Linked DNA regions of Macaca fascicularis. The protein of the gene in region 2 interacts with the protein of the main gene of each other region in a biochemical or structural test. Links are inferred from orthologs where the notes say so. Each region holds a gene or a part of one and is shown on either strand. Other genes may lie near its edges. The genes, in order: CASP3, BIRC2 and CASP7.

Region 1 (4,172 bases), on a different chromosome or scaffold from region 2:
GTTAGAAATAGGCTCTGCCATGGGGTCCCTGATCTGACTTCTGAATGTCAAGAACCTTTTGAAATCTGATGCAGAATGTCGTGCTCACGTGTTGGAGAATTCTTCTGCGAAAACGATTCACAGTTTGCTTCAGGGTCTAAAATGAGTTCATGACCCAAAATAGGAAGGGGATCAGTACGGCAGTGTATAGCACACCCTTCACGTAACTATTAATAACTCCATCTTAGGAAAAGACCCCATTTTATATTTCATAGGGCATTTGCCAACAAGGATACTATACTTTAATAAACAAGTAAAAAACTAGTCCGCATCCACTCAGGTAAGGACACAAACAAGCGCCCTCTTCCACTGTCAGTTCTCACCCGGACTCTGCCTTCGGCAGCTCCAAACAGTCTTAATTGACGCTGTCTCTGCAGAAGGACCTCTCGGGCCCAAACCAGGCTTCTTCTTCTCTTCTTCACTTCCTCTGGATTGGTTGTTCATCTCTTTGTCCTCTCTCTTTTTTTCCTCGGGATGTTAAATGCTACTTTGTTTGCTGTGGGATGCTTAACATGTAACGTTTATATATGGATTAAGTACACTACTGCGTACGGTTTGTAGTACTGACTGATGCGCGGAGTGGCTTGAGCCCGTGTGTCCAGCATGCGTGGACCTGCTTATTACTAGCCCGGCACCCTGGCGACAGGAGGCTAAGGCTTTTGATTTAGGGAGAGGGACCTGGGGGTAACCCCAAGAAAGGCCTCAGGTCACCGGAGGGGGGACGGAAATTACCGGAGGGCGTCCCGGCCCGCTCCTCTTCTTCTCAGAGCTCACACTGGGCAGCAGGCCTGGCCTTGTCTCCCTTCTAGGTCCCCGTTGGGCCTGGCGCGGTTTCCAACTCTTCCTCAAATTACCTCCAGAATCCCGCGCTGGGAGCGGAAGCCCGCGGACTCTCAGGAAGACCCAGCTTTCAAATCCGGGGCGGGGGAGCGGGGCCGGGCCTCGGGGGCGGGCCTCGGGGGCGGGCCTCGGGGGCGGGCCTCGGGGGCGGGGCCTCGGGGGGCGGGGACCCGGGCGCGGGCGCGGGCGCGGGCGCGGGCGCGGGCGCGGGCGCGGGCGCGGGCGCGGGCGCGGGCGCGGGCGCGGGCGCGGGCGCGGGCGCGGGCGCGGGCGCGGGCGCGGGCTGCAGCGGGCTGGCGGCTCCTGGGGCCCAGCCCGGCCCTGGGTTCTCGGGCGGGCGGGAGCTGGGGGACGGGCCCCAGGGAGGGGGCGCGCGGGGCCGACAGGGGCGGGCCGGGGGCGGGGCTAGCGCTGGAGCACGTCCCCAGGCGGCGGGCTGCTGAAGCGGTGCAGACGCGGATCGTAACGGGTGGCTGCTGCTGTGAGGCGGTTGTGGAAGGTGTGAGAAGGCTGTGCGGTGAGTGCCGCGCTCGCTCCGGGCGGTCAGCCCTGTCCCCGCTCCCTGCGTCCTCCCAGGCCCAGCGCCCGCCCGGGGACCTGGGCGGCGGAGCCTTTGTTTTGCCACCTCACCCGGGGCGGCAGCGAGCAGTGAAGCCCGGGGCCGGGGCCGGGGCAGCCAGGCAGCGGGTTAAGGCTTTTGATTTAGGGAGAGGGACCTGGGAGTAACCTAAGGAAAGGCCTCAGGTCATCGGAAGGGAGACCTGACCCGGGGGCGGGAGGCTTGCCTGGGGCCGGGGAGGCCAGGCAGCGGGAGGCCGGCCCGGGGGAACCGAGGCCGGGGCCGGGAGGTCGGGCACGGGGCACCGAACTCCGAGGGCCAGAGACCTGGCGGCCGGGCCTGGGGCCAGGAGGCCGGGCCAGGCAGCGGGAGGCAGCGGCAAGCTGGAAAGCAGACGGTGCTACCGCCGGCGGAGGAGTGGCCCCGGGAAGCGGTGCGGCGAGGGCTGGGGCGGCCGGGTGCTGACTGTGAGGGACTCGCCCTCGGGGCTGATCCTTCCAATTTTGGGCGAGGCTTCCGTCTCTGCTGCCTTCCATGCCTGGGGCCTGGACTATCCCGGGTTGACTGTGTGGTTTAGCTCTTCCAGAGAGCTAGTTGCAGGGTTTAAAATCCAATTCCTTTTCGGCCCTGCAGAGTTTCGTGAGTGCTCACAGCTCATCCCTGTGGCTGTGTCTCCGTGGCCACAGCTGATTGGCGTCGCCTTGAAATCCCAGGCCGTGAGGAGTGAGCGAGCCCTGCTCGCGCTCGGCGCTGTTGTTTTCAGTGGGTGTGCTCTGCACCTGCGTCTTTCCCCCATTCTCAGTAAGTGGCACCCAAGCAGGAAACCGGAAAACATCCTTCTCGCCCCCCTCTCGCCCACCTACTTCTTTTCCCGCTTAGTCACCAAGCCTTGTCGACCTTGTAAACGTCTGCCAGGTCTGTCCACGTCTCTCCATCTCCACAGCAGCCTCTTCCCTGGTCTCTCCACCTCCAGACCCGCCTGCTCCTTTGTAGTCCACTTTTCACAGCACAGAGGGATCTTTATGAAATGAAAGTCTAGAAAGCGCGTCCTTTGCCCTTAGGTTAAACCCAGCACTTAATACGGCTGACAAACCCCAGTACGTGTTGGGTCCTGAGTGCCCCCACCCCTCCCTATCTTTAGCACCGATTCACTTTCTGCACAGCAATGCTGACCTTCATAGCTAGTGTCTGCCACACCTCTGCATTCCCCTTCTCCCGCCATCACATTTGATTAGAAGTAAGAGCTGCTACTTAAACTTCTGTTTTCATTAAAACAGTTCAAGGTTCAATCTTCCTCTACTGTGTTCTTTCTGCAGCCAGCGTTCCCTAAGAGAGATGTGTCATATCCTCTGCAGTTGCTTGTTTACTGTCTTCCCTGCTAGATTTGCAAGCAAACTCCAGGAGGGATGGACTTGGTTTATCTTGGTGTCCTTAGAGTCTTTCACCAAATGCGGGCCCTGGCACAACGCAGTGAATGCCCATCCGTTGTGTTTTTACTTTTATGCCCTATCTAGAAAAAGTAGACCTGGTTTAGGATTATTTAGCAAATAATAGTTAGAAAAGAAATGGTAGAGGTGACATGGAGTCACTGAAACCATGTAAACCTGCAAGATAGCAGAAAGAGGGCCAGGAAAGGTGGTTAGACTAGACTGTATCAAAATGGGCTCAGCCACTGTGAGTGTGCGTGCTGTGGTTACATCATCTCTAAAAGTGAAATGTAAAGCTTAAATCATCTCTATCACAGCCCGATGCTTGGGCTTTGGTTTTGCTTTGCCTTTTTGTAAAAGAAGGTTTTTGAAAGTGAAAATATATTTTAGTGAATGCACGAACAGTTTATTGGAGTATGGCAATAAAACCTGTTCAGAGTAAGAGACATTAGACATTGTACCTAGTTAAATCAGGTTTGCTTTTGCTATCCTGAATAAAGGCCTTGACTCTTGCCTTTTGAAGAGACTGGCATCTGATATAGGCAGTTATAATGCTTCTTCACTGTTTTGCTTTCAGACCTCATTTAACACAATCTCCTACTGCTTCATCCCCCTACAAAGCAGTCTTTATTTTCATGAATGATATATTACATTGCTTCTGGTGCCTACTATTAGATGTTTAAGCTCTGCCCCAAAGATAGGAAGCACTGGTATTTGGGCCTAAAAAAAGATGTGAGAATTCTTAGATTTATATAATGTTCTTTCTCTGCATGTTTTGTTCTTACCGTCACATGTTGCCTGTAGGGCTTCTTTGCATTACAATAATGCAATCAAGTTACCTGATATGTATTGGACACCGTCTGGCATCTGCTTTGTTGAGCCACTTTTGAATGCCAGTGAGCATCGGTATAAGCCCTGCATAGAGATAGGGTTTGTCTCGTCCACTGCTTGATACACTCAGGGTCTAGTATAGTACTCTGCACACAGTTGGTGTTCAGTAAATTGTTATGGTGCAAATATCAAATGAATAGATGCTACTGAATCTGACTTTTGGCAGTTTCAGTCTTCCAGACAGTAGGGTTTCTTCAAGCGGTTTTAAACCTGAATCTGATTCTGCAAAGTAGTCATTCTTGGTGGGAGTGGTGAGCCTTTAATGTTATCTGTAATTTTTATAAAAAAGCATTCAAGATCCTCCATTTTACACTTATATAAATCATTTAGATCTGTGAAGGCTTTCCCGTTTTCTCCTTTTGTCCCTCCAAAAACACTATCCTAGGACTTCACTTGGCACAGGGAGGACAGAGCTT
Region 2 (4,352 bases):
TGTTTGCTGCGCCCGCACTGCGGTGAGTGCTGCTCCTTCCGGACTCGGGCGGCGCGGGGAGGGTGGGGACGCGCGGGCCCGCGGGGGCCCACTTCCCTGATGTGGCGGCCGGGCGAGGAAGGAAGGGGCCAGAGGCCCTTCGGCCAAGGGTCGAGGGTCGCCGGGGGCTCTCTGCTTTCTACTCTCGCCAAGGTTTTATTGGATTCGGAAGCCCAAACTTCAAGACTTGCAGTCAAAGCCGTTTTTAAAATATGACTTGTTTTCAAACCTCCTCTGGCCGCCGCCCACTCTTCTGGCCCTTGGACTTTGACCAAGATGTTTTCTCGCAGTTTTTGCAAGGTTTTAAACAGCCCTCGGCGTTCTTTTAATGTAATACATTGAAACGAAGATATTTCGGTGGCGGTGATATTTCATATTTCATAGTTGCCACTGCGCTCTGTCATTCCAGTAGTCTGTTGTGTATTGTGAGAAACAACTCTGGGTAATTATTGGGTAAATCCCATAGTTTCTATTCTTTTCTCTTCCATCCTATCCCCTGTCCAGCTGCAGTTTGCATAAAGAGAATGCTGCAGTACGGTGCTCGCAGATAAAAGTCTTTCGTTTAAAGATAGTATATAAAAAATCGCGTGTAATTAAAGCAATCATGCCAGTGGGCGTCAGGCCACTGTTTCACAGGCCGCTGTGTTAGGTTTTGTTTTCGGTTGTTTTCTACCGTCGTTGCTTTGAAATTGTAAGGGATTGGCAGAGTTTAAGGGTTTATATTAATGAACTCGTGGTACATTTTACTGCAGTTTTCCTAGTCGCGGAGAGACTTGATATTACAAACTAACGTTGCTGTCTGATTACTGCTGTACTGCTGTTGACAGGGTTTAGTGGAGTACCTTGTCGCTCTCTCTGCCTTTTTCACCAATGTTCCTTTGCCTCCAGCAGAGTGCCAAAGATACCTTTAGGTCAGAAAAGGGGAGGAGAGCAAGGACAAAATGTTTTCCTGTGTGAAAATTTCCATCTGTCTCTAAAGTTGTGCTTTTTAAAGACACGTATAGTTAGTGCTATGGGAGTATGTTGCATTTATTTATTTTAATTAAGAGCTTTTTCAGTTAGAAAGTTGTGACAAATTGCTGGAAATTAAGATGTGTTATCTAAAATGTAAATTATTCTTAGACTTTAGTGAATAAATTGAAGAGTATGTAAGTTCTATTTGGCATGCAAATACGGTTTTCTAAAATACCTTTTGTTTTTTCTTTTCAGATTTACAGCCCTGAAGAATCCTCCTCTCCCTTTCCCCTTGCAGTAATAAATCCCATTTTGGAGATCTCGAAGCTTTATAAAGGGATATAGTTTGAATTCTATGGAGTGTAATTTTGTGTATGAATTATATTTTTAAAACATTGAAGAGTTTTCAGAAAGAAGGCTAGTAGAGTTGATTACTGATACGTTATGCTAAGCAGTACTTTTTTGGTAATACAGTATTTTGTTAGGCGTTTCTGATAACACTAGAAAGGACAAGTTGTGTCTTGTGACAAATTGATTAATGTTTACAGCATGACTGATAATTATAGCTGAATAGTCCTTAAATGATGAACAGGTTATTTAGTTTTTAAATGCAGTGTGAAAAGTGTGCTGTGGAAATTTTATGGCTAACTAATTAAGTTTATGGAGAAAATACCTTCAGTTGATCAAGAATAATAAAGTGGTATACAAAGTTAGGAAGAAAGTCAACATGCTGCAGGAAATAGAAACAAATACAAATGATATTTAACAAAGATAGAAGAGTTTATAGTTTGTGAACTTTAAGCCAAATTCATTTGACATCAAACACTATAACAGGCACAGGTTCAACAAAGCTTGTGGGTGTTGACTTCCCCAAAAGTTGTCAGCTGAAGTAATATAGCCCGCTTATGTAAATACTATGGTGATAAGCTGTGTGAACTTAGCCTTTAAATAGTGTGACCATATGAAGATTTTAATTACTTTTGTTTATTGGAATAAAATGAGATTTTTTGGGGACATTATATTAAAGTGCTTATAGGGAAAGAAGCCTGCATGTAATTTTTTACCTTGTGGCATAATCAGTAATTGATCTGTTACCCAGGCTTCATAGCTTGTAACCAAATATAAATAAAAGGAGTAATTTAGGTATTCTGTAGTTGCTTAGAATTTTGAGAATATAAATCTCTGTGAAAAATCAAGGAGTTTCAACATTTTCAAAAGGGCATCCACCTCTCAGGGCTTTAGGTTAGTATTACTCAAGATTATGAACAAATAGCACTTAGATTACTTAAAAGAGTTACTACAACCCCAAAGACTTGTGTTCCAAGTAGTATCTTGGTAATTCAGAGAGAGACTCATCCTACCTGAATATAAACTGAGATAAATCCAGTAAAGAAAGTGTAGTGAATTCTACGTAAGAGTCTATCATTGATTTCTTTTTGTGGTAAAAATCTTATTTTGTGTGAAGAAATTTCATGTGACTGTTTTAGCTATCAAACAGTACTGTCACCTACTCATGCACAAAACTGCCTCCCAAAGACTTTTCCCAGGTCCCTCGTATCAAAACATTAAGAGTATAATGGAAGATAGCACGATCTTGTCAGATTGGACAAACAGCAACAAACAAAAAATGAAGTATGACTTTTCCTGTGAACTCTACAGAATGTCTACATATTCAACTTTCCCCACCGGCGTTCCTGTCTCAGAAAGGAGTCTTGCTCGTGCTGGTTTTTATTATACTGGTGTGAATGACAAGGTCAAATGCTTCTGTTGTGGCCTGATGCTGGATAACTGGAAACTAGGAGACAGTCCTATTGAAAAGCATAAACAACTATATCCTAGCTGTAGCTTTATTCAGAATCTGGTTTCAGCTACTCTGGGATCCACCTCTAAGAATACTTCTCCAATGAGAAACAGTTTTGCACATTCATTATCTCCCACCTTGGAACATAGTAGCTTGTTCAGTGGTTCTTACTCTAGCCTTTCACCAAACCCTCTTAATTCTAGAGCAGTTGAAGACTTGTCTCCATCGAGGACTAACCCCTACAGTTATGCAATGAGTACTGAAGAAGCCCGATTTCTTACCTACCATATGTGGCCATTAACTTTTTTGTCACCATCAGAATTGGCAAGAGCTGGTTTTTATTATATAGGACCTGGAGATAGGGTAGCCTGCTTTGCCTGTGGTGGGAAGCTCAGTAACTGGGAACCAAAGGATGATGCTATGTCAGAACACCGGAGGCATTTTCCCAACTGTCCATTTTTGGAAAATTCTCTAGAAACGCTGAGGTTTAGCATTTCAAATCTGAGCATGCAGACACATGCAGCTCGAATGAGAACGTTTATGTACTGGCCATCCAGTGTTCCAGTTCAGCCTGAGCAGCTTGCAAGTGCTGGTTTTTATTATGTGGGTAAGAAGCAAATAACTACATTTTATCATTTTATTTTGATTTACATATTAGAACATAATGTGTTTTCAATATTTAGTCTTTTTTTTTTTCTTGAAGGTCGCAATGATGATGTCAAATGCTTTTGTTGTGATGGCGGCTTGAGGTGTTGGGAATCTGGAGATGATCCATGGGTAGAACATGCCAAGTGGTTTCCAAGGTAATTGTTTTGAAAAAGGTATTTGTACAAAAAACTCTGCTTAAAAGAAGTAGGCATGCTTACATGATTTAGTTTACCGTTAAATTATAACAAAGCCTCTTTTGTGCCGCTGGGGAATTATCCTTCTAAAAGATCACATTTTAACTTTAATTGTTTTGTTGAAAAATATTATGCAGTCTTCTGTGTACTTTTGTAAGTCAGTTACAAGTATAGCCATACATTTTATTTATTGCCCGTCTTCTTTTAAACAGTACTTAAGGATTACAAAGACATATAAAATAGATTAAAAAGAAGTTAGAAAAAGGTAAGAACAGGAAAACAAGAAGGGACATAGAATGGATGCAGGAATAAGGCAAATGTAAAAATGCATATATTAAGAGCATATCTTGGCTGGGTGCAGTGGCTCACACCTGTAATCCCAGCACTTTGGGAGGCCAAGACAGGTGGACCACCTGAGGTCAGGAGTTCAAGACCAGCCTGACCAACATGGTGAAACCCTGTATCTACTAAAAATACAAAAACTGACTGGGCATGGTGGCACACGGCTGTAGTCCCAGCTTCTCGGGAGGCTGAGGCAGGAGAATCGGTTGAGCCCAGGAGGTGGAGGCTGCAGTGAGCCAGGATCATGCCACTGCACTCCAGCCTGGGTAACAGCGAGACTCCATCATCTGACTGCCCATTTTAATTGTAATTGTAAGTTTTTTTTTCTGTACAATTTTCTTTTTTTATAATCTGTCATTTACCTCTTTTTAGCC
Region 3 (3,645 bases), on a different chromosome or scaffold from region 2:
CTAACATGATGAAACCCCATCTCTACTAAAAATACAAAAAAAAAAAAAGAAAATAGTGGGGCATGGTGGCGGGCACCTGTAATCCCAGCTACCCGGGAGGCTGAGGTAGGAGAATGGCGTGAACCCGGGAGGTGGAGCTTGCAGTGAGCCGAGATCGTGCCACTGCACTCCAGCCTGGGCGACAGAGTGAGACTCTGTCTCAATAAAAAAAGAAGCTGCTGTAACTGAGCCTAAAATTCCAAACGACATGGGTAAGAGAAGGGCTTGTCGACGGAGTACTGAGGGGCCGGATAGCCCAGTGCATTTGGTAAAACTCGGGGCTGGATCGCAGCGTATATCAGTCTTCTTGGGCTGCTATAGCAAAATACCTTAGACAAGGTGGCTTAAACAACAGACATTTATTTCTCTTAAGTTAGGGAGGCTGGGAAGTCCTACATCAAGGTGTCGGCTAAGTCACTTTCTGGTGAGGGCTCCCTTTCTAGCTCATAAATGGTCACCTTCTTGCTATAGCCTCATATGGCAGAGATTGAGAGCAAGAATGAGTGAGGTCTCTCGTGTCTCTTCTTATAAGGACACCAATCCCCTTGGATCAGAGCCCTACCCTAGTGACCTCATCGGACTTTAATTACCTCCATAAAGACCCTGCCTCTAAACACAGTCACATTATGGAGTGCAGCTTCGATAAATGAATTTTGGGAAGACATAGTTCAGTCCATAGCATTGGATGTGACAGGGCATGGCCAGGATCAAACCAGGACAGGTAGGCAAGTGGCCCTGTCATGGCGGGCCCTGTGTGCTGTGTCAAGCAGCCTGAACTTGACCCAGATAAAGTGGTGCAAGCAAACTGTTTTAGGTTAGGGAGTTATAGGATGAGATTTGTCCTCCCAGGGCATCAGGCTCTCCTGGCCCTGCCCCTCAGACAGTTGGGCATTCAGCTTCCTCGTGCCTCTGGATTTCTTCAGCAAGGTCCAACTCTACTCCCATGTACCCCAGCAGCAGGAACACATCTCAGAAATCTTCAAGGTTCCCTGCAAATTCCTTCTCTAGTAGATTTGGATTCGAAAGTAGCACTGACCCCCAAAGGGTAGTGAGGAGTTCCAGAGTTATGGAATAGACCTCCAGCATTTCCTTTGGAAGTCTGCATGTGCAGATCTGTTTCACACTCATGTATCTGATATATATCAGGTGGGTACCTCCATCAGGCTAACACAGGAGAGTACCCTGGCACCATCCACCAAGGCTGGCCCTTAGTGATGTTGTCTGTCATAGGATTTCCGTAGTGAAGTACCCAAAGCATTTTCTAGCATCTTCATGCCAACCCTCTAAATCTCAGATGTTTGCTCTCTGAGCACACCAGCATAATTCTCATTAATGACTTGTGTGCAGAGTAGAGTGAAATCATTTCTGAAAAGCAGGTGTAAAAGCCCCATAGAGTCAGTCTCATTGGTGAGTGGAGCAGCTGTCAGAATTAGCTGATTTGATTATCTCCTTTCTTTCCTGTTGAAGGCTATTACTCGTGGAGGAGCCCAGGAAGAGGCTCCTGGTTTGTGCAAGCCCTCTGCTCCATCCTGGAGGAGCACGGGAAAGACCTGGAGATCATGCAGATCCTCACCAGGGTGAATGACAGAGTCGCCAGGCACTTTGAGTCTCAGTGTGATGACCCACGCTTCCATGAGAAGAAGCAGATCCCCTGTGTGGTCTCTATGCTCACCAAGGAACTCTACTTCAGTCATTAGCCATATCAGGGGTGCATTCTAGCTGAGAAGCAATGGATCAATCACTAATGAATCAGATTTTTTTTTTTTTTTTTTTGATGCTCTTGAAGTATTCAGAAATTCTCCAGAATTTTCATTTCGGGAAAATGTATTGATTCAACAGGGAAGAAACTTTCTGGTGCTGTCTTTTGTTCTCTGAATTTTCAGAGACTTTTTAAATAATGTTATTCATTTGGTAACTGTGTAACTTTCTCTTAAGATTAATTTTCTCTTTGTATGTCTTTTACCTATTAGACTTAATACATGCAACAAAAGTGACCTCTGGAGAAAGCTTGTGGCTGTGTCCTCTGTAATTGGTGGTAACAGTGGTAGGCAGAGTCATGTTTGCACTTGGCAAAGAGAATCCCAGTATTTGACAAAACACAGCCAAGGGGATATTTACTGACCTTTATTGCAGAATGTGGGTATTGAGTGTGATTTGAATGATTTTTCACTGGCTTAGGGCAGATTTTCATGCAAAAATTTCCAGATAAGAGGAGAAAAAGCTAAATGATTCTGATATGTATCCATCAGGATCCCGTCTGGAAAACAGAAACCATTCTAGGTGTTTCAACAGAGGGAATTTAATACAGGAAATTGACTTACATAGATGATAAAAGAGAAGCCAAATAGCAAGAAGCTGTTAACACACCCAGGGCTGTGACGATAATGGGAAGAGGTTTGGTTTCCTGAGTCTAGTAGTAGGATCATCCAGAGGAGCTGGAACCATGGTGGGGGCTGCCTAGTGGGAGGTAGGACCACTAATGGATTGTGGGAAGTGGAGCCATGACAAGGACAAAGCCACTGCCTGAGATGGATTGAACTGAGTCAGATACAGAGAATACCTTGGTCTCACCTCTCCTGCCCTCACATCTTCCACCAGCACCTTACCGCCCAGGCCTACCTGGAAGCCACCTTACCAAGGGCCTTGGAAGAGCAAGGGACAGTGAGGCAGGAGAAGAACAAGAAATGGATGTAAGCCTGGCCCATAATGTGAACATAAGTAATCACTAATGCTCAACAATTCATCCATTCAATCATTTATTCATTGGGTTGTCAGATAGTCTATGTATGTGTAAAACAATCTGTCTTGGCTTTATGTGCAAAATCTGTTAAATCTTTAAAATATATCTGGAACTTTTTAGATAATTCCAAGCCTTATTTTGAGTAAATATTTGTTAATTTTAGTTCTATAAGTGAGGAAGAATTTATGGCAAAGATTTTTGGCACTTTATTTTCAAGGTGGTGTTATCTTTTGAAATCTTGATAAATGACTGTTTTTTTCTGCCTAATAGTAACTGGTTAACAAACAAATGTTCATATGTATTGATTAAAAATGTGGTTGCTTAATTCCTAACCTGTCCGGTTTGCTTTCCTTTTGAAGTCATTTATGACAATGGAGAAATGAGAAAACAGGGTAAGAATTGACCCTATTGGCTGGACGCAGTGGCTTACGCCTGTAATCCCAGCACTTTAGGAGGCCGAGGTGGGTGGATCATTTGAGGTCAGGAGTTCGAGACCAGCCTGGCCCACATGATGAAACCCCACTTCTACTAAAAATACAAAAAAATTAGCTGGGAATGGTGGTGGGCACCTGTATGTAGTCCCAGCTACTCAGGAGGCTGAGGCAGGATAATCGCTTGAACCCAGGAAATGGAGGTTGCAGTGAGCCAAGGTCGAGCCACTGCACTCCAGCCTAGGCGACAGAGTGAGACTCTGTCTCAAAAAAAAAAAAAAAAAAAAAAAAAAAAAAAAAGATGAAGAAGAATTGACCCTATTGACTTGACCTCAATATATAATATAATGTTTTTGAAGTTAGTACACTAATAAGTAAGTAATTACTTGGGAAGCCAGGACTCTTCACATAAAGGGTTAATCAACTTAGAAAGAT

What was found.
Region 1: the proteins of BIRC2 (region 2) and CASP3 form a complex in vitro, tested with the Homo sapiens proteins (3 studies listed by BioGRID, with this or other methods). The link is inferred for Macaca fascicularis from reciprocal best matches to the Homo sapiens genes BIRC2 and CASP3.
Region 3: the proteins of BIRC2 (region 2) and CASP7 form a complex in vitro, tested with the Homo sapiens proteins (2 studies listed by BioGRID, with this or other methods). The link is inferred for Macaca fascicularis from reciprocal best matches to the Homo sapiens genes BIRC2 and CASP7.

The regions. Positions count from the first base shown.
Region 1 is NC_088379.1:189,420,400-189,424,571, reverse strand, and holds the start of CASP3 (caspase-3), read left to right. Parts: upstream 1-1,328; 5' UTR 1,329-1,396; intron 1,397-2,071; 5' UTR 2,072-2,239; intron 2,240-4,172. UniProt on the Homo sapiens protein: Thiol protease that acts as a major effector caspase involved in the execution phase of apoptosis. Following cleavage and activation by initiator caspases (CASP8, CASP9 and/or CASP10), mediates execution of apoptosis by catalyzing cleavage of many proteins.
Region 2 is NC_088388.1:101,357,451-101,361,802, forward strand, and holds the start of BIRC2 (baculoviral IAP repeat-containing protein 2), read left to right. Parts: upstream 1-1,478; 5' UTR 1,479-2,506; coding exon 2,507-3,401; intron 3,402-3,497; coding exon 3,498-3,597; intron 3,598-4,352. UniProt on the Homo sapiens protein: Multi-functional protein which regulates not only caspases and apoptosis, but also modulates inflammatory signaling and immunity, mitogenic kinase signaling, and cell proliferation, as well as cell invasion and metastasis.
Region 3 is NC_088383.1:122,773,787-122,777,431, forward strand, and holds the end of CASP7 (caspase-7), read left to right. Parts: intron 1-1,506; coding exon 1,507-1,736; 3' UTR 1,737-3,111; downstream 3,112-3,645. UniProt on the Homo sapiens protein: Thiol protease involved in different programmed cell death processes, such as apoptosis, pyroptosis or granzyme-mediated programmed cell death, by proteolytically cleaving target proteins.